4 linked regions of the Arabidopsis thaliana genome follow. The protein of the gene in region 4 interacts with the protein of the main gene of each other region in a pairwise test. Each region holds a gene or a part of one and is shown on either strand. Other genes may lie near its edges.

Region 1 (5,099 bases), on a different chromosome or scaffold from region 4:
AAACAATTGATGGAGGGAGAGATGGGGAAGACAACGATGAAGAATGTAAAAGAGTATGCGAAAATGGCGAAAAAAGCTATGGCTCAAGGGACTGGTTCGTCTTGGAAGAGTTTGGATTCGCTTCTGGAAGAGCTTTGTAAGAGTAGAGAGCCAGACGGTGTTAATAAGTTGTCAAGTTCTGATGCTTAGAGAGATTAAGGATTGGATAACAAAACGGCTTCGTACCTAATTTTAGTCATTAAATATGTTAGGTTTGTTGAAAAGTTGGTCCATTCTTCTCAATTGGATATGAATGACTAATTTGGAGTTCTAATTCTTGGTTTTGGTCTTATAGTTTCAAAAAATTTCAATTGCATTCAGTGGTTGCTTTATGAGATTTTTGCTATCTTTGAGGTTAATATTGGCTGGTCAATCCGAAGAAGCTATCAACACCTTAGTGTTCTTCTGAAAGACTTAAAAATGAGTTTGTATGCAAAAGTAGTATCTACTATGAGAAGAAATCAGACTATATAACATTGAGACAGTTTAAGAACAATGTATTTTTACTCTACACTCGTTTTCTATATCTAACATCCTCAAACCGAAACGAAAAGAAAAGAAAAATTACAAGTTGAAATAATTAAGGGAGTTTCCTAACTATTTACCATCTAAAACCAAACAGTTCACACAAAAGTTTTTTGCCCATAATGACTACACTTTAAACGTCTTCTTTATCTATAGAGAAATCAGGCTCATCTGGTTTGAATAGTTGAGGCATCTTCAAACTGGTGGAAGATCCATCTTTCTTACCAGTACTACTACTTGAAGCCTTTTGATTTGTTCCTCTTCTCGTGTTCGCCGCAAATTTAGATGCTAAGATCGTTGCTCCCAGATTTGTGTTGTCCATTGATCCGCCTTCCTCGTCACTTCCATAGTAATACTCTCTAGTTTCTTCGTCTTCTTCATTGTAACCTGTTTCATCCGGGTAATAGTATCCGCTACTCTCGTGAAGGCTGAGCTCTTTCGCAAGCTTTCTTCGCTTGTATCTTCTCCATGCAGATTGGACAAAACATGCTCCCCATGCTCTCCATTGATGTGAGTAGTACCTGAAAGCGTGTTGAAGCTTTTTGCTTTGAAGACGTTTGAACTGATGAGCAACAAACTTAAGATCCTCTGCGCTTAATGCAAAGGCTTCTACTTCAGAGAGGGCACGGACGCTTCGTGTTGAAGACGGAAGATTGAGTGTAGAGTTTGGCATTAAGGCCCATGTAAGAAGTTCTTCCCCACAGAAATCGCCAGGTCGTAGAGTAGTGGAGTTGAAGAAACCAGATCTTCCTCCATTTGTTGTTGAGCTCTCTATTTGTCCTCGGATCACAAATAGCATCTCATTCACCGGATCACCTTCACGGAATATGTATGTCCCGGCCGTGCTTAAAGATGAGACAAGGCATCCGCATATAGCATCAAGAAGTTGATCATCCATTTGAGAGAAGAACGGGACCTGCACTTACCACAACAATGTGACTTCTGAATTGAAAAACAATCAAATCCATAACAGTTTTTGATGACTGAGTTGATGTATGTACCCGGCGAACAAGGGAGAGACAAAGATGACGTTGGATTTCACGGCGTAAATCTGTAGGTAATGAATGGAGGATTGATTCTTCATCGACACCTCTGGTTGCAAGCCATTTGTATTGGACAAATCTTCGGACACGTTCTTGAAGCTCTGGAGGTAGTTGACGATGTCTCATCCATTCTTCAGTGTCTCTTCTCTTAACTCTCCATTCCTCAACTCTTACTGACATCGATTGCAGAGAAGACTTTCCACCAAATTAAAAATCATGAAGTCTATTGTTAGAAAGACAAAAAAATGTCTCTGTATTGAAAAGTTTTGCAGAGTGATGCATAAGCTCTGAATCTTACTTGCATGTTACCAATCAGGAGTGTGAAGAGAATCAACCCAAAAATACAAATTGTTATACAGAACAAGGTCTCGCCAAGGTATACACTTGTGGTTATATTCTGTCCATAAGAACTGTGAAACAAAACCTTTATTAAAACCAAAGGAGGACAATTTAAGCAGATACTGGTTAGATAAAAGGTTGTCATACCTTAGATTTCTTAAACCCCACCAAAGACAATACAAGTACTTGGACACAAAATCTGTTGTAGCAACTTGAGTGGTAAAGGCTTCAGCAAACATTCCGAATTTGAAATTGGTAGTGCTGCTTGTAGCATCACAATGAGAAAGGACCTGAGTAACGTTCTGCCAATACTGGCGCTCTGGTTGTTCTAAACTCTTGCAATCCAAGAAGCTAGGAAGACAATCCAAAACTCTCAAAGCGTTGTCTTTCTTGCATACGTTGGACCAGCACGAAAACTGCCGCCCGATTGATGACAGATACCACATTGCTCCTAACACCTGCCCACAAATAGAGATTCTTAGCAACTTAAAACTGAAGAAACCTAAAGATTTGAAAAAACACACAAGATAAAGAAAACTTACGTGACTAGCAAGGATGTACAATAGGAGGTTGTATGCAGCTCCTGCCCAAGCAGTCTTGGCGATAAACCCGGTTGTTTTGATAATCCTTTGGTTGAGTGGGAATATGATGAATGATCTTGGAATGTATTGAACAAGAACGATAAGTGCGAGAGTGCTATTGGCATGATTAGCAGTTCCATTTGTGGCCGCTGGAATTACTAGCCAAATAACAAGCTGAGATCAAAAGATAGTCAGAAACAAAGCATGAGGCTCCCAAAATATCTCTGTTCTTTAATCTTCTAGCTACCGCCTAACGATTTTTGAACATTGATCTTAGCTAATCGTAATCCATATCATTGCTTTCACATTCAAAATAAGAGCAAAATCTTAAGAACCTGAGGAAGGGGAAGCATGGCGGCGACATCAATGAGGAAATCTGTCTTCAAGTATCTCATAGCAATCTCTCTAGAATCCATAACAAGCTCACCGCGACCAAAAACACGAGAACTCCTCGCGACGAACGCAGTTCTGAATTTCATGAAAATGTGCAAGAGGTGGAAGATATCGGCGACTGTACGGAAGAAAGTGACAGTAGCGGCGAGGCTGATGTCGATGGAGAGACACGCCGGACCACCGACGTAAGGGACGTAGAAATAGAAAGGATCGAGGAAGAGAGCGAGGATTGAGGTAATGAGAAAGACGTGGTTCCAATAGGTGACGATGTTGCTGTCCGGGTCCAGGATCTGATGCCGCCATAGGACGCTGAATTGGCTACCGTCAGATCCTCGATTTGAGGCGGCGGTGGAGGCGGAGGTTATGGTCTCCGGGAGGAGGCAGCGGAGAGACCGGATTTTATTCATCTTCCATGGCGGATTCCGGTGTTAAATCGGATTCCGCATTAACACAGAGAGAGATTGAGATTGATGGACAGAGAGGCTAGGTGGTTGCGTCGTGTGATTTTTTGTTTTTTTGGGTTTTTGCATTTTGTTTTTGATGATTATGGAAGAAGGAGAGGATTTCTCGCGGGAAAACTGAGAGAAGGGCCATGGAAATAGGGGGAAGGGTAGTTTTTGAAAATATGATGGGAGAATGAGGGTATTTACGGAATGTTATAGTTGCGGGTCTCGTTTGTTTATGCTGTTTTTGTGTTCTCAAAACAGCACACGTTTTGCATCTCAAAACTTCAATCGACACAATATCTACTGTTCTTAGTTGTTGGACCCACCGGCCCAATAGTTATAGATCGGCCCAATAGTTATTTTTTTCTACTTTTTTTCTATGAAAATCAAAGGGATATATACTATATATGCTTTAGGATTTTAAAATTACACATTATAATGTATACAATTGCTATGATCATTTCTATTGATAAACTAATAATGTTTTTAGTAGTTTTAACTTAAAGTCCGGTTTAATATTGTTTAGTTCAATTGTTCAAAGAATAAAAAAAAAAATTATAATTAATTCGTAAAACCATGATAAGATTAGTTAAAATATCTAATTCGTTATGAGGTTCATTAGAATTTATTTAAGTGAATTATTGAAGTTTTATGAGCTACATTTATTATATTTTGTCAACACATTAAACCCGTAATTCAATTATACTGTCTTTTGTAGTATTTCCGTTTTTGACATCAGTTTAACAAATTGTCTTACATAATTCATTTGTTGTTGTTATGTACTATTAAAAGTATATAGAAGCACGCGTACCAAACATTCTGTGACAATATGTGGTAGTGGGAAGATAGTGTACATGCTTGTTGACACCATCCATAAGATAGTGTACCTATAAAATAACAAAAAGGGAATAGAAATCCTTAGAAACAATTATGCGAATATAAAAGGGATAATAAGAAGTGAGAATAATAAAATGAATACTGAAATTAAAAATTACGTCACGGAAAAATGATGTTTATCCACACAAAAAGAACAACAACTTCCATCATATCATATAGAGGGACATACTAACTTTTCCACTTCCAAAAAATCACACTTATGCGTAATTGTTTTCTCTAACAATAATGACGTATTTTAGTCCTTCAAATTTTAGTACTCCATCATTTTCCGATTAGACACAAAGTAGTAATTTCAATATAAAAAATTAATAACAAGCTTTTATAAATGATTATGATAACTTATACTAACATATGTGACAATATTGTTTTCTCTATGCTTGTTAAACGTAATTAAGAAACAATGATGTTAATTACTCCAACTAATTCATGGATCTAGAAATACGATGTTGGTTAAACATTATTATCGACTAATTTATTACTTCGTTAATGGCTGCTATTAAGTATGACCACGTGTGGCAGATTTGAGATGTTTAGCGATCTTTAAATATAGAATCCGACGGGATCCAATTCTCCTCTTTTTTTTTTATTCCACTTTGCCACTGTGATTATATAATAAGTATGATTAATTAAGAGATTTACATTCTATTGATTTACTTTATTATTTTATTCATGTGGAGTAGACTATACGACAACTACTTTATCGTTACTTTTTAATTTTATTTTTTAGTGAAAATTTGCTAGTCAAGTTTAGAAAATTCAAAATAGCATTTCACTTTTATATGCACGATTGATTTCGTTGCTTATATTAAGATAAGGAAAACAAATGTTACTCTTCC
Region 2 (5,486 bases), on a different chromosome or scaffold from region 4:
GCTTGAGAGACTCAATACGAAGCTGCTTATTGCGAAAGATCAATTAGAAGCAGTATCTAAAGCTGAAGAAAGAATCAGCTATCTTGCTGACAATTTAACTACTTCGTTTGAGAAACTAAAGAGTGATAGAGAAGCTGCAAAGAAAGAGGAGCTTAAGCTTAGAGAAGAAGCAAGGATCATCAACAATGAGATACAGAAAACCGAAACAGGATTTGATGGAAAGGAAAAAGAGTTGCTTTCCAAGTTAGATGAGCTTGAGAAAGCGAAGCACGCAGAGAGTTTAGCTCTAGAGAAGCTTGAAACAATGGTAGAGAAAACAATGGAAACTCGAGAAATGGAATCTCGGCGTAATTCAACTATTACAATATCGAGATTTGAGTACGAGTATTTGAGTGGAAAAGCTTGTCATGCTGAAGAAACTGCAGAGAAGAAAGTGGAAGCAGCAATGGCGTGGGTCGAAGCACTAAAGGCTAGCACTAAGGCGATTATGATAAAGACAGAATCTTTAAAGAGAGTGAGTGGGAAAACAATGTTGGAAGAAGAGAGGGAATCGTTTAGGATGCAGAGGTCGCTATCGATAAAGAGATTGGTCCAAGATGAGATTCAGAAGTTCAAGGGAAATTCAGAAGACAATGGCTTGATCAACTCTCCTAAACCGGTGAGAAAATCGGTTAGGCTGAGCGGGAAATTTGCACCGGTTCAGGGAGGGAAGTCGAGAAGGTACTCATCAGGGAACCGAGCGACTCCAACATTCTTTGTAATCAAGAAGAAGAAGAAAGTTCCAAACATGGTCAAATTTTTTAGCCGGAAGAGGCGTAATTCTTCTTTAGAACAATGAGAAGTTTAGTTATCTTGTTGAAGTGAGTGTAAGTTTTTTTATTGCTTGCGTGTTAAGTTTCACATTGTTTTTAGCTTGTAAGTGATTTATTTGTTTTGTATTTTTGTTATTTTTTGATAATAAAAAAATGATGTATTTATGTAGACTTTAGGTGTATATTAATGAAAATAATGTATTGCATTGTATAAGAGTCAGGTAAATTTTTTCATATTTGATTTTGGTAATTTGAATGGTTTATATCGAACTAGAACCAACAAATTTCATACATGACCAGCCGTTGATAAAAGAAATTTTGGCATAAACTATATTATAGACACACAAATCAAAGTAAATTAAAGTAAAAACGAATTTAATTGTAAAGAATGAATCATATTCATATTTTAAAAAAAACAAAATTATGTACTTGTATCTTTTTTTTCTGGTCAACTAGAAATACATAAAAGATTACCGGCTAAGCTAATTTGTACCACAAACGTCTACAAAATTTTTTATAAATTTATGTTTTATATTTTAAATTAAATGCTCCTCGAAATAATATTTTGCTAATGTTAAAACCAAATTAACTTATAAAATTATGCAACAATCATAGTAGAAATGTTTGGCCATGACTCATAAAATTCACACAAGTAATATTATTGTTTTCATATATTTTTCCGACAAATGTTAACTCTTTTCCCCCAAACTAGTTATATTTGTCTCAGACTCCAAAACAGAAACAAACAATCTAGAAGTAAACTAGAGTACAAATCAAATCGAAACGAAAAACTTAAATTGACCGGCACAACAATAATTCTGGTGGAGATTTGACTTTAGGATTTGGAAGTAAAATTGTCAATACATTACCCCACCACTAACTAAACAACTAGAAACTAGAAAAGCTATTCCTCATTACCTTACGTGTCCCCTACTGTTTCAATTATAGCCTCAATCATCGCTAATTCCATTGACATGTAAATGAGGTATATACAATTTGTTTGATGCATGAATTTAGATATAAGTTTCTTCAAACATATAAATATCTTCAAAAAATTTAGAATTGATAAGAAGTTAAAACTGTTGACTTGATTGAAAACTAGGCCAGTCCAAGCTATATAAACACTAATTTCTTGGAGATATTTAGGAGCCAAACTTTACTCAATTCAGAATTGTGTCTCTCTTTAGAGATGTCTCAGTTATTTCTCATTCTCTGCTTCATTCTAACTCATTTCTTTGCCATAGCCACTTCTCTAAACGATCAAGGTCTTGCTCTTCTTTCCTTTAAACAATCCATACAAAACCAGAGTGACTCTGTTTTTACCAATTGGAACTCTTCAGATTCAAACCCTTGTTCTTGGCAAGGTGTTACATGTAATTATGATATGAGAGTTGTCTCGATTCGTCTTCCTAATAAACGTCTTTCGGGTTCTCTTGATCCATCCATTGGAAGTCTCTTGTCCCTTCGTCACATTAACCTAAGAGACAATGACTTTCAAGGGAAGTTACCTGTGGAACTCTTTGGACTTAAAGGGCTTCAAAGCTTGGTGCTTTCTGGAAATTCTTTTTCCGGGTTTGTCCCAGAAGAGATTGGTAGCTTGAAGAGTCTAATGACTCTGGATCTTTCGGAGAATTCTTTCAACGGTTCGATTTCTTTGTCGCTTATTCCATGCAAGAAGCTGAAAACGCTTGTTCTTAGCAAGAACAGTTTCTCTGGAGATCTTCCAACAGGGTTAGGTTCTAACTTGGTTCATCTTCGGACACTGAATCTTTCTTTCAATCGCTTGACTGGAACGATCCCCGAAGATGTAGGAAGTCTGGAGAATCTGAAAGGTACACTTGATCTTTCTCATAACTTCTTCTCAGGTATGATTCCAACAAGTCTTGGAAATCTCCCTGAGCTTCTCTATGTCGATCTTTCTTACAATAATCTCAGTGGTCCGATACCAAAATTCAACGTTCTGTTGAATGCCGGTCCAAATGCTTTCCAAGGGAACCCTTTCCTCTGTGGATTACCGATAAAGATTTCTTGCAGCACAAGAAACACACAAGTAGTTCCTTCTCAACTATATACAAGAAGAGCCAACCATCATTCTAGACTCTGCATCATCCTTACAGCCACTGGAGGCACAGTCGCCGGAATCATTTTTCTTGCTTCATTATTCATCTACTATCTCCGAAAAGCATCGGCTCGTGCAAACAAAGATCAAAACAACCGAACATGTCATATAAACGAGAAACTGAAGAAGACGACAAAGCCAGAGTTTCTCTGTTTCAAGACTGGGAATTCAGAATCTGAAACGCTAGATGAGAACAAAAATCAACAAGTTTTCATGCCAATGGACCCGGAAATCGAATTTGACCTCGACCAGCTTCTAAAAGCCTCGGCTTTTCTTCTAGGGAAGAGCAGGATCGGGCTTGTGTACAAGGTAGTTCTTGAAAATGGATTAATGTTAGCCGTTAGACGATTAGAAGATAAAGGTTGGCTACGGCTCAAAGAGTTTCTAGCTGATGTCGAAGCAATGGCGAAAATCAAGCACCCTAATGTCTTGAATCTCAAGGCTTGTTGCTGGTCTCCTGAAGAGAAACTCCTGATTTATGATTACATACCAAATGGTGACCTTGGTTCTGCAATTCAAGGTAATTTTAGTGTCAAAATCGCATAAATCTATGACCATAGTTAAGATTCAAGACTGATTCATAAAAATTTATGACAGGTAGACCTGGTAGCGTGTCATGCAAGCAACTAACCTGGACGGTCCGGTTAAAAATATTGAGAGGAATAGCAAAAGGATTAACTTATATTCATGAGTTTAGTCCCAAAAGGTATGTCCATGGACATATAAACACAAGCAACATACTTCTAGGACCGAATCTTGAACCGAAAGTATCCGGTTTCGGTCTAGGTCGTATCGTCGACACGTCTTCAGATATCAGATCAGACCAAATCTCTCCCATGGAGACAAGCTCACCAATCCTCTCTAGAGAATCATATTACCAAGCTCCTGAAGCAGCTTCAAAAATGACTAAACCGTCTCAGAAATGGGATGTGTATTCATTCGGTTTAGTGATACTCGAAATGGTAACCGGAAAATCTCCGGTTAGTTCAGAAATGGATTTGGTTATGTGGGTTGAATCGGCTAGTGAGAGAAATAAACCGGCTTGGTATGTTCTTGATCCGGTTTTAGCTCGTGATAGAGATTTGGAAGATAGTATGGTTCAAGTCATCAAGATCGGTTTAGCTTGTGTGCAGAAGAACCCAGATAAAAGACCACACATGAGAAGTGTATTGGAGAGCTTCGAGAAATTGGTAACTTCTATTTAATTATTATTAATTAATGAAAAGTAATAATTTTAATTAGATTATGTGTTTACTTCATAATTTTCAGATTACTTCATAAATTTCATGTGATAATTTTTATGGTTTTTCTGTTAATCATTCATAATTGTGATATTATTATGAAAAATAAAAGGACACAAGGGAGGATATTTTTATTGAACTTATATAATTAACAAAACTGTTAATACAGTACAAAATTAACATAATGCTTTAAAAATCTTTTACCCAAACCCGACCCGGAATTATGAACCGGAGCTTTTTTTCATAGGTCAAATCTCTCTTTGATGTCATCGAAACTGTACCCGCCGCCAACTCCAAATCCGTATCCAAACCCGAACCCGATACCACAACCAATACCGAATCCAAGAACCACGTTAGAATGGTCAAGTCCTTCAGAGGCACCTATTCCGAGCCCGCCGGAGAGACCAATGCCGATTCCAGCGCCGCAGCCAATGCCGCCGCCGATTCCGGGACCGACGGTTGTTGTCTTGATGTTATCGATTTGTGTACGGAGGAATCTGGTAACCGGAAATTCTGATTTCCCGGTTTTGACGTCTGGTTTACGGCTCCAGAGTTTATTAGTTGATCCCATTGGTTTTGTGATTGGGCAAATGACGATCACTGAATTGTGAATTTATGAGTGATGAGAAAATCAGATAAGATTTGAGAAAAAAGATGAATATGCGTTGAGGTATTTATTGGGCTTATTGTCGCATATATTGGGCTTTAACCCATTTAAGTCTCTACAGATTCTCTCCTATTTATCAGTTTTTTTTAATGATAAAAGATACACATGAGATACAAATTCTTCAAGAAAATGTTAAATACAGATTTGGATTAAGTTATATGATATTTTGTTTTTAAAATGTCGTAGAAAGGGTAAGAAGGTAATTTGGGCAGGGTTGTTGGGTTAGAAGGAAGGAAACATTTTCTAGTTAGTTAGCTACAACGAAAGATTTTGATTGAAGTATATTACACATAGGAAAGAAAGAGGGACCATAGTTAGTTAAAGTTGTGCTCTTTAAGCAAACAAAACTCACATATATTCCTTACCTTACTACGGTCGTTAACAACATGAAACTAAACATACATGCATATATCAAAAAACCAATTTAATCATCAATTCATTAACTATTCTTATTCATGATTGGCCCAACCAAACTTAATAAAATGACCTATTCTTCTTTATTTTTGTTTCTTCAAACACACCAATACATACTTCCTTATTCTCCAAGTTACAAACAAAACCTCCCCTCCTAACAAACTTTTTGTTTCCATCTATTTTTTTTTTCAAAATAGATTTTTGCTTGAGGTTCATATTTATATACTTGCTTA
Region 3 (5,054 bases), on a different chromosome or scaffold from region 4:
TTGTGTCGTTCTAAGCGTTTGGGAAATAACTTGCTTGTAACAAAATGTACGGTGTCTGTTTGTTGCCAAATTATTGAGTGTTGTTTCTTAATAATTTTCTTTAAAGTCAGCGAAGTAATTATTCTATAAAAACTAAGAGTTGCTCTATCTAGATATATATACAATTGTGGACTACTTCTTTAAAAATTAAATAAATTGGTAAAGTTTAAAGGTACGTCTCCCAAGCAGAAACTGAACTAAAGAATTCAGGACCAAACTCCTCTGAAGGGAAACACTCAAAAAACAAAAACAAAAAAAGATTCATTTGGTAAACATAATAATAGTGAAGAAAATATAATATGCCAAAAGTGGGTTTTGAACTCATGTCCTTATGGAAGTGCAAGTTTACGTATTAATGTATTATTCAAGTGTACTAATCGCAAGTAAGAAAGGACGAGAAGTTCAGAAGCTGTGTTCGGGATTTGTTGCTTTTCCTTCAGTGTCTCTAGTCTGTTTTAGTTCTCGGATTTTTATTGGTTTATGTCTAAGTGTTGTACGTAGTCTACTTATTCTAATTTTAGATCGTGTTGTTTTAGTGTTTCTTGCTAGTCTCCGAAGTTTCTTTATTCGGCTTTTTCTCCTGAGATACCAAAGTATATTTTAATATGTATATGTTGGCTTTGTTTTATTCGTGTTCTTCGGTCCTTTGATGTATGTTCTCAGCCTTTCGACAACAAATCCAATATATAACTTAGATGACAAAGAAAAGAAATAAAAAACCTCATATCCTTATATACTATCTGAAACTAGCCATTTAAACAACCTTCGCTATTTATTTTACTTAAGCGATGAATGGTAATTGATGTACAAAATCAGACAAGTAGTAAACTTAGGGGTTTTTAGTAAGCTTAGTTCGTATCGAGAATCAATGGACGTAACTTTGAGGTTTAACTCTCCTCCTTAACACTTTTTATGATATATCAAATCAAATATATTTTTTTACTAAGATTGGTGTTCTTCAATTAATGTTTCATCTCTTTTAGGTTCTTTGCACAATAAGTTTTTCATGAGCTATCTAAGTTCTTAGCTTATTTTCTATCTTAATAAAGCTTTCAATCATTGTTATAAACATAATTTTCCTCTTTTAAAATAAACGTATATGTAAATAAGTAATATATTCACAAATAAATATAAAACTTTAAAACTAAGATACTGAAAAATATTTTTGATAGTTTTATAATTAAAAATCAATCTCTTTTTATATCTCAATTGTAAAAAACACTGCAAAACAAACCTCAATATAAACAATATTAGTTATTTTCCACAACCAAATTTTACATTACAAATTTACAATTATATCTTCTAGGCTTGCTAAGTCTAACTAACTGAAGCTCATAGCATGTGGTTTGATTTTAACCTATTTACTGGAACCCTCTAAAATGAACCCAAAGCTCTAAAAGAGTCGAGCTTTTTTGGGTTTGAGTCTGAGGGTAGACTAAAACAACAAATGAGTCAATTTGCGTCATCTTTTAATTCTTGGACCTTAGGCAAATTGACCCCACGGAAGAAAAACTTCATCGATACCTTCTTGTTTTGCTTGACCTGAAAAGTCAATGGTTGACCAAGTGAGTCACTCACCACCCATTAGTCTCTTATCTTCTCAAAATTCTTCAATTCTCTTCTCGTTTTTTTTTTTTTATCAATTCCAATGATCTGTCACGTTTTAGTAATTTTCACTATTCTCGTTTCCGCCGTCGTCGACGCAACGGCGTCGTATGAGCCCACTGATGTCTTTCTCATCAATTGCGGCGATACCTCCAACAACATGGACTACAGTGGCCGGAACTGGACGACGGAGAATCCGAAATTTATGTCATCGAATGCAGTTGACGACGCGTCGTTCACTTCATCTGCGTCATACCAAGAATCAGGGATTCCTCAAGTGCCGTACTTGAAAGCTAGGATTTTCCGATATGATTTCACTTACAGTTTTCCAGTCTCTCCCGGCTGGAAATTCCTCCGGTTATACTTTTATCCGACCCGTTACGGATCCGATTTCGACGCCGTTAAATCCTTCTTCTCCGTCAACGTCAACCGTTTCACTCTCTTGCATAACTTCAGTGTAAAAGCTTCCATACCGGAGTCAAGTTCTCTAATCAAAGAGTTTATCGTTCCGGTTAACCAAACTCTTGATCTCACGTTCACGCCCTCTCCGAATTCATTAGCTTTCGTTAACGGAATCGAGATTATCTCCATGCCTGACCGGTTTTACTCAAAGGGAGGATTTGACGACGTTGTAAGAAACGTTGGTAGGGACGTTGACTTCGAGATAGACAACTCCACGGCTTTCGAGACCGTTTATCGGGTAAACGTAGGTGGAAAAGTGGTGGGCGACGTCGGAGATTCGGGAATGTTCCGGCGTTGGCTTTCCGATGAAGGTTTCTTACTCGGTATTAATTCGGGAGCCATTCCGAATATAACAGGTGTAAAGATCAACTACACGGATAAAACTCCCGCGTACGTTGCGCCGGAAGATGTATACACGACGTGTCGCCTGATGGGGAACAAAGACAGTCCTGAGCTAAACCTGAATTTCAACCTGACGTGGCTCTTTGAAGTCGATGCCGGGTTTGCCTATATAGTGAGGCTTCATTTCTGTGAGACGCAACCGGAAGTCAACAAAACGGGTGACCGCGTCTTCTCCATCTTCTTCGGATATCAACTGGCCATGCGTGAAATGGACGTGTTTCGGCTGAGTGGTGGTTTTCGGCTACCGATGTATCTAGATTTCAAGGTACTTGTCGACGCCGACGGAACTAGCCAGAGACCTAGTCTTCGAGTTGACTTGACACCTTACAAAGAGGACTATCCAACCTATTACGACGCTATTTTGAGTGGTGTAGAGATTCTCAAGCTGAGTAATTCTGATGGTAATCTTGCGGGGCTTAATCCAATTCCTCAACTAAGTCCACCACCACAATCTATAACGCCACTAAAAGGAAAAGGCAAGTCATCACATGTTTTGCCAATAATAATTGCAGTGGTTGGTTCTGCAGTTGCGCTAGCGTTTTTTGTTCTTGTTGTTGTCCTCGTTGTTATGAAGAGAAAGAAGAAGAGCAACGAGTCTAGTGTAGATACCACGAACAAGCCTTCTACGAACTCGTCATGGGGTCCTCTTCTGCACGGGACAGGCTCTACAAATACAAAATCTGCCTCATCTCTTCCATCAGATCTCTGCCGTCGATTCTCCATCTACGAAATCAAATCCGCCACAAATGATTTCGAGGAAAAACTAATCATAGGAGTAGGCGGGTTTGGTTCTGTCTACAAAGGACGAATAGACGGTGGAGCCACACTTGTTGCGGTTAAACGGCTGGAAATTACATCGAACCAAGGTGCTAAAGAGTTCGATACAGAGCTCGAGATGCTTTCAAAGCTTCGACATGTACACCTCGTCTCTCTAATCGGATATTGCGATGACGACAACGAGATGGTACTTGTCTATGAGTATATGCCACATGGTACACTTAAAGATCATCTTTTCAGGAGAGACAAGGCCTCTGATCCTCCATTGTCATGGAAACGAAGGCTAGAGATTTGCATTGGAGCAGCTCGTGGATTACAGTATCTTCATACTGGAGCCAAGTACACGATCATACATAGAGACATCAAAACCACAAACATACTTCTCGATGAGAACTTCGTCGCTAAAGTATCTGACTTTGGTTTATCAAGAGTTGGTCCTACTAGTGCTTCTCAAACGCATGTCTCCACCGTCGTTAAAGGAACGTTTGGTTACTTGGATCCCGAGTACTATCGCCGTCAAATCTTGACCGAAAAATCCGACGTGTACTCTTTTGGAGTTGTTCTGTTGGAGGTTTTGTGCTGTAGACCGATCAGAATGCAAAGTGTTCCACCGGAACAAGCAGATTTGATCCGATGGGTGAAGTCAAATTTCAATAAAAGAACCGTTGATCAGATCATTGACTCAGATTTAACCGCTGATATCACTTCGACCTCGATGGAGAAGTTTTGTGAGATAGCCATTAGATGTGTTCAAGACCGTGGTATGGAACGGCCACCGATGAACGACGTTGTTTGGGCGCTTGAGTTTGCTCTTCAGCTTCACGAGACTGCTAAGAAGAAGAATGACAACGTGGAGTCTCTGGATCTAATGCCAAGTGGTGAAGTTGGTACGACCACGGACGGAGAAGATGACTTGTTTAGTAGGACTACAGGACACGTTGGGAAATCGACCACGACCGATGACTCTGTTCTAGTTGTTGGTGATGAGAGGAGTGGTTCGAGTTGGGGAGTATTTTCGGAGATCAATGAACCTAAAGCACGGTAGATTTGATGGCTTGGTAAACAAGTATCACATTCTGGTTAGGGTTGATATATATTTGTGTATGTATAATTGTTGAATAAACACATTATTGTATTTAAATTACATTTTGATGATTATTTAGCAGCTTAAATTTAGATATTATATACTTGCTTTTATTTGACCAGAGATAAAGTTGGATTTTTTTTTGGCGGTTCGTAACGGTTGAGAATATGTTTGACATTTGTCTCAAAATGCAATCAAAAAAGTTTTGCAATATAAAATTTTGTTAAATACAGTCGTTAAAAAAAACAAAATTGTTAAATAAGTTCCTTCGCCATTTCACGTGGCTCTTAAGTCATAACCTAGTTATGAAAAATGAAAAACACCTAATCTTTTCTTTTTCAACTTCAATACCAAATGATCCGTCACGCTTTGTTAATATTCTCTATTCTCGTTTCCACCCCCATAGTAGGAGAAGGAGCAACGTCGACGTATGAACCCACCGATGTCTTTCTCTTCAACTGCGGCGACACTTCAAACAACGTCGACGTTAGTGGCCGAAACTGGACGGCGGAAAATCAGAAAATTCTATCGTCAAATTTAGTCAACGCTTCGTTCACTGCACAAGCGTCATACCAAGAATCAGGAGTTTCTCAGATTCCGTACATGACAGCTCGAATATTCCGATCTGAGTTCACCTACAGTTTTCCAGTCACTCCCGGTTCAAATTTTCTCCGGTTATACTTTT
Region 4 (6,267 bases):
AGCAAAGCAAACCTCCGAAGGGATCATAACTACACATATTGATCACCTAGTTACCTTTCCTTTAAGACTAAAAGATTTGGTTTGATGTTGCAGGCGATACAATGTTTAGGCGGAAATGGATACATAAACGAATATGCAACAGGACGCCTTCTAAGAGATGCAAAGCTATATGAAATCGGTGCAGGGACAAGCGAGATCAGAAGGATTGTCATCGGTCGCGAGCTTTTCAAAGAAGAATAGAGATAAGTCTGTTTTCTGCATTGCCAATGCGACATTTTCATTCTGTACACGTATATATAATTCACAGTGTCCTTAATAACCTCACAATAAGAAAAATAGCTTCAAGCAATCCTCTAGAAACCATATCAATTATTAGTCACATTATGTGTGACATGTTATCACGATACCAGCATGCCAATCTAACACTGACACTTCTGGTTAAACTTACTATTTTGTCATTTGATTCGTCAATAATTAGTAAAGGCAACTCTAAAAAGTTCTTAACAATAATACCAACAATCTCTTTCTCATTTTCCATCAATCTGATCACCTTTCAGTTTTCTCTTGTATCTGTATCTCTTGTAAAATCGGCGATTGTCTACCCGAAAATCTAAACTCAGAAGCAACTTCTGTCTGAACCGGACTTTCTCCAGAATCAATATCACCATTGTTATTGTTACTGTTGTTGTCGGTGTCTGGCGTTTGGATAGTCTTTTTCTTGTCTCTAACCATCCCTTGCCAGTGCCTTAACACATTTGCTAGTTGTTCTTCTAAGATTGCTCTCTTGTAGCTTGACCCCATCTAAACACATATATATATGCATCCAAATCAAATTCAGATCACTAGGTTACACTAACAGTAATAATTTATATACTAATGCAAAACGATTTAATTTAAAAATGGTGTTATATATATTGGACTAAATTACCTGAGTTACAATGGCATAAAGAGGCAATGTAATGTAGCTGCTCAAGAACTGGACTGTCACCCTATAAATCATAATATCCTTAATATTAACGATATGATTTTTAATACAAAAATATAATTTCGAAAATGTAAATAATTTGTGGGATAAAATAAATAAATTGTAGTGCTTACGCTAATACAAGTCGTGTGATTATGATCCCTTGGTTATCATGGTAGCAAGAGTTAATCCCAAATTGCCACTAATTTCATAATTAAAATTATAGATACATCACATATAACAATTTCCTATATTATTTTTCCCTTTCTTATAAATCCAAATATTAAAATCCCTATAAGAAATTAGAACTTACAGTGATCCACACAATAAATGCCATCTCGAAGGTGTTCTGTATTAGAAAAATTAATGTTGGCATTATGATGAAGCATTAGGAAAAACGACATGTAGTTTATAAAAGATTACCAGAAACAGCGTGTAGTGTAGAATGCTTAAGAGAAAACGAGGATTGGAAAACCAGAAATGCGTGTCGTTTGACTCAACGAGAGGGGTTCCTCTAATTACACTGTTATTCTCCTTAATTGTGACCGCCATTTTCGCTACTATCATCTCTAGTTTCGTCCCGATCACTAAAACTATCTACGTAACAATATTAGTTCGTCAATAATTTGAGTTACACATATAGTTAATTAGTCTTAACTAGATTAAATTAGCTCTTACAATGAGTGGCACAAATGACATATAAAAATATACTCTCCAACCTGATGATTAAGAAAAAAAGAAGAAGATAAGATAAAAACGAGTAATCACTAATAATTATTTTAATTTAACTATTTAAGCTAACAAATATATAAATTAAGTTACCAGAAACGTCGAGGAGCATAAAGATGACCACAGTTAGCCACATTAAAGGACTGTAACAAAATTAAAAAGTTTATTTGATTTAACTTTGTTACTTAAGATTCATGTAAAATACACAAATATGACTACCTTATACCAACCACAGTTTTAAAATCTTCATGTAAAGATCTCTGTATATAGTTTTGGAAGTTGAAAGCATTATTTGACGATACATGAGCCTGCATCAATAATCAAAATAACACATTAAATTTAAAATTTATTTATTTTTAAATAATTATTCATTGACAAAAAATGAGGTACTAACAAAGATGAACCCATGCCGAAGTGTGAGGTAATCTACTTTCGCCACTGAGTTGTAAAATTGCCTGAAGAAACATTTCTAAGAAGAAAAAAACTTAATTATTAATATAGTTAAACCTATATATTTGAGATAAATGTTAATTAACAAATTAATTAAAGATTAATAATAGGTACGAACTTACAATCCAAAGTTGAAATGATGTTTCAGTCCATGAACTCAGGTGTCGTCGAGCAAATGTTGTATCTCTTGTTATTCTAAACCTATTCGGATCTTTAAATTTTCATAAAATATTAATTAACTTATCGACTAAGAAATAATTGACATTGCATGTAATTTCGTAGTAGAAAAATACAAAAATCTTACCGTTTGCTGCTAGATACTCCACTGTTTGGGTCTCTTTCTCCCACGAATTCCATTTTCTCATCTATATGTATTACGTACACAAAAAACTTTGTATGTAAACAATAGTAAAAAACCATGTCACAAATTATTGAAGTCTTTATTAAACAATTGTAATGTTATAATATTTGATTGCATAGTGTATATATGTAGTACCTTGGCCATTCCAAGGAGAAGAATAGCAAGATTGCAGAGAATATGCATGCATGCCAACACAAAGAAGAAGTAACTCAACTGAGTCAACCCTTCTTCTGATATTAGTGAAGTCTTACCCTGCAAATTTTATTTTATTAAATCGGATTAGTTACTTCGAAATAAAATTTACTTTAGTAAGCAAAGAAAAAGTCATACTCTTGATATTTTGTTCATAACTCAACAATTTTTTTTTTGTTTTCTTTTTTATTTGGACGTAATTTTCTTGATTAGTGGACTCTAGCTAACGACAATGTCCAAGACTCCAAGTCAACGTCAAAGTAAACTAGTTGACATTTTTGGATTTTGCGGTCCTCTCTCCCTCCATCTTGGATTTCAAGAAGATATCTTAAAACTTTTGGATTCAGAAGTTTCATAAGTTAAGCATATAAAAATGTATATGATTAAATCTCTTATTTAAATAATCATATTGTAGAATAGTAAGCAATAAAAGGTTATGAAAACTGGAAAATCATTTAACGAAAATTCATAAATCAAAAACTAAATTGTGTGATTGATTAAGAAAACAAAATTGCTGCATAATTTCTATCTACAGTTTCACTGGTCATCAAAACTTTTGTTTTTCTAAGTTAAAACCTTTGTATACTACTTTTATACATTATATATATGTCCACCTTGGATTTAAAGATAAATGAAAATAAAACTGTAAAATGATTTTAATTAAAGATCAAAGGGTCAAAAAGAACCTTGGAAGAGCATTGATGAAAGAAGCTGTTGTCATGATTATCACCATCATCATCATCATCATCTTCACTAACATCATTATGTGATTTTATGGTTTTACGGCATGGCAACATTCGATTGGCATACTTTATAGGAATGCATATCTTCGAAACTTCTCCTTCAGTTACATTTAGCATTAGTGACATGAATCCTAGCACCATTAGAACTGCCCTTACAGAACATTAAAAATTCAGAGATTAATAAAATTGGAAGAGATATTTCAATTGATTTTCATATCCAAAAATTTAGGATTTTTTTTTACTATAAGATGTTTGAGCTTTTTAAATTAAACAAAGATTGATGACCAATGAACTTTTCTACGAATGGGACAGTTTTTTACCTGATTTGAGCTTCTCTACAGCTTCAAGTAGCGACGTTTTTCTATTTTTCTTAAGTCTCTGCAAGAAAAGAGACAATATATATATAATACAGTTTTGTCTTGAACTTTCGACTCGCTTTTTATTTTTTGTTGAAATTTCAACTCATGTTATCTAGCTGATATTTTTCGAAAATGGTTAAAATATTAAAATACATTTTTATTAACATACATATTTACTACTTCACCTATATATCTAATTTAATAAAATATAAATATATCCAATTTAAATTCTTGCAAGTGTAAACCAAACTCTACTTTTCCAAGAACAAAAAATTTATAAAAAAAACTTAAAGAGATTAGTCAAAATTTAAACAGTGTATAGAAGAAAGTATATATGATCCTATAATATACATATTTGTACTTACAGTGGATAGAAGATTGATGAGACGCTCGAGGCAAATGGAAACAGCGATGAAGAAGAAACAAACGGTGGCCAGAGCCCAAGTGGGAGTTTCTTGGAGGGATCGGACGGCGCCAACCTCCGAGGAGTGGTTGCTTTCTTCTTTATCCGTCATCTCTTTATATTTTTCCCGGTGACTGATTTGTTTAGTTGAGAAGATGAAGAATTAGATATGTGGTGGAAAATATAACTATATATCTATTAATATTGTCGCAATCATTGTTGTGTTGCAATCAAGAACTTGTCAAAGTTTCTAGTAAACACTGACGTTTAAGCTTTAAATGTGACATTAAATCCCAAGTCCCACTTCATACGTACTGCCCTGTCTTGACTTGGTAAGACTTAATATTATTCTTGGGTAAACTTGATAAGTAAATTAAAATAAAAAAATTTTAGTTAGTAAACTAAAAATGGATTGGAGTATTGGACGGTGAAAACCGACAATGTAAAGAAAGGATAAAACAGTTTCTAATTTTCTGCAATTATAGTCGATTTTACTAGTTAACTTTTAACTTTTAATTTAGTGGGTATATTATTTATTAAATGGAAATTAGAGTTATAAATTATAAGTTTTTGAGTTTGATTTTGTTAGACGTTCATTTGATAGTTCAGAAAACAAAATAGCACGTTACAAATATAAGTTCATTTTAATGTTTCTAGTAAAAACTAAATGAGAATAAAAACAAAATTAAGGAATATACTATGTAATGAAAATTTCTTATTTGTTGCCCTTTTTGTGTATATTATGAAAATTTCACCGTGGCCGTGAGAAGGGGTTACACATGTAAAAAAAAAAACTATGTAATGAACCCAAATCATATTATTGATATTTTCTTAATTTCATCAATAAATATTGCGATCTACCAAATTCACCTTCTTTTTCGGTTTAACAACCACATCAATATATAATTTTTAATACAAGAACGGAAATGACAATAAAAAAAATGATTACTTACTTCACAACATGATAACAAAACAAAACCAATATGACATCGTAAAATATTCTGGATGAACATTTGAACAAACATAATTATACGTACATTTTCTTAAGCTTATATATATATATAGAGATAAAAATAATGAACTTATATAGTTTTCAAAATTGTTGGAAAAAAAATGGAGGGTTCTAAGTCTAAGGTTTTTATTGTGCTTGATTAATTTAAAAAAAAAAACAAGAAACTAAAGCTAGAAATTAGGATTTAAATCATATCCAAATGGCCAAATTAAATGATGAGAACATTTTAGAGAGAAATCCCAACCACGTCTGATTTTATCATCCGAGCAATTCAGGATCCTTTTTTCTCGACTAAGCTCAGATCATCTTTGTTGTATTTGTTTGATGGCTGGTTTCCAGTTTCTTCGTCGAAACCATGTCTAGTGAATATCATTTTTTTGTTCTCTAGCTTTCTTCTCTTTTGTTTTGTTTTGTTTCCGTTTTTCTTTTACAATCTCATTGGTTTTCTCTAGTGATTGCAAAAACGTTGGAATCATAACAAAGAATCCTTTCAAATCTATCCGTACAACAGCCGCCCCACTGAGCACACTATAACACAAACTAAAAAAGATCTGATATATCGATGTTTGTATTATGTTGCAAATTAAACCAAGTTCCGACCCACTCAAGAATTAGAGCTTTAACAATCACGGGTGAAACGTATTTTTACACAAAACAAACATAAATTAAAATAAAATAAAAACATTAATTACATGTTTTATTATATACAGACAAATATTAAATATCAATAATTTTATCAAATAATTTATTTTAATCGTTTCATCCCACACTAGATGCGAGTTCTTATCTAGTTATAAGTTTATAACATAATCGTCGACAAAAGCCTATACGTTTTTTACTTAGGGCTGGCTCAAAATAATTAAAAATCATGTGCTAAAAAAAAGAATTGGTCATCATTTCCTATATTTTATTTTTTAATAAAAATTTGGACCCTAATTGTAACAGATTTACTTATAAAAAAAAATGTTGGATGGACCATGTGCATCAGCTCCTCGAGCACATGTAAGGGGTTCAAATCATTTTGTTATTAATATTATCAGTATATATGATAAAA

Evidence for each region.
Region 1: the proteins of MLO3 (region 4) and CNGC18 interact in a protein complementation assay, tested with the Arabidopsis thaliana proteins (one large-scale study listed by BioGRID).
Region 2: the proteins of MLO3 (region 4) and AT1G66830 interact in a protein complementation assay, tested with the Arabidopsis thaliana proteins (one large-scale study listed by BioGRID).
Region 3: the proteins of MLO3 (region 4) and AT5G38990 interact in a protein complementation assay, tested with the Arabidopsis thaliana proteins (one large-scale study listed by BioGRID).

Annotation. Positions count from the first base shown.
Region 1 is NC_003076.8:4,807,571-4,812,669, forward strand, and holds CNGC18 (cyclic nucleotide-gated channel 18), read right to left. Parts: upstream 3,524-5,099; 5' UTR 3,328-3,523; coding exon 2,863-3,327; intron 2,702-2,862; coding exon 2,489-2,701; intron 2,405-2,488; coding exon 2,094-2,404; intron 2,018-2,093; coding exon 1,906-2,017; intron 1,803-1,905; coding exon 1,566-1,802; intron 1,481-1,565; coding exon 698-1,480; 3' UTR 521-697; downstream 1-520. Other genes in the region: AT5G14860 (UDP-Glycosyltransferase superfamily protein), read left to right, coding at 1-189. UniProt on the Arabidopsis thaliana protein: Cyclic nucleotide-gated ion channel required for directional pollen tube growth into the transmitting tract. Acts as a Ca(2+)-permeable divalent cation-selective channel inhibited by either lanthanum or gadolinium.
Region 2 is NC_003070.9:24,929,350-24,934,835, reverse strand, and holds AT1G66830 (Leucine-rich repeat protein kinase family protein), read left to right. Parts: upstream 1-1,898; 5' UTR 1,899-2,001; coding exon 2,002-3,451; intron 3,452-3,528; coding exon 3,529-4,136; 3' UTR 4,137-4,413; coding exon of another isoform or gene 4,414-4,743; 3' UTR 4,744-4,938; downstream 4,939-5,486. Other genes in the region: PMI2 (PLASTID MOVEMENT IMPAIRED protein (DUF827)), read left to right, coding at 1-838; AT1G66820 (glycine-rich protein), read right to left, coding at 4,414-4,743.
Region 3 is NC_003076.8:15,607,137-15,612,190, forward strand, and holds AT5G38990 (Malectin/receptor-like protein kinase family protein), read left to right. Parts: upstream 1-1,548; 5' UTR 1,549-1,687; coding exon 1,688-4,330; 3' UTR 4,331-4,528; downstream 4,529-5,054. Other genes in the region: AT5G39000 (Malectin/receptor-like protein kinase family protein), read left to right, coding at 4,724-5,054.
Region 4 is NC_003074.8:16,615,632-16,621,898, reverse strand, and holds MLO3 (Seven transmembrane MLO family protein), read right to left. Parts: upstream 4,502-6,267; 5' UTR 4,314-4,501; coding exon 4,164-4,313; intron 3,818-4,163; coding exon 3,760-3,817; intron 3,586-3,759; coding exon 3,383-3,585; intron 2,757-3,382; coding exon 2,640-2,756; intron 2,509-2,639; coding exon 2,448-2,508; intron 2,355-2,447; coding exon 2,266-2,354; intron 2,163-2,265; coding exon 2,088-2,162; intron 2,002-2,087; coding exon 1,913-2,001; intron 1,837-1,912; coding exon 1,787-1,836; intron 1,684-1,786; coding exon 1,643-1,683; exon of another isoform or gene 1,562-1,642; coding exon 1,388-1,561; exon of another isoform or gene 1,362-1,387; intron 1,314-1,361; coding exon 1,278-1,313; intron 1,167-1,277; coding exon 1,099-1,166; intron 990-1,098; coding exon 929-989; intron 802-928; coding exon 547-801; 3' UTR 529-546; downstream 1-528. Other genes in the region: IVD (isovaleryl-CoA-dehydrogenase), read left to right, coding at 94-240.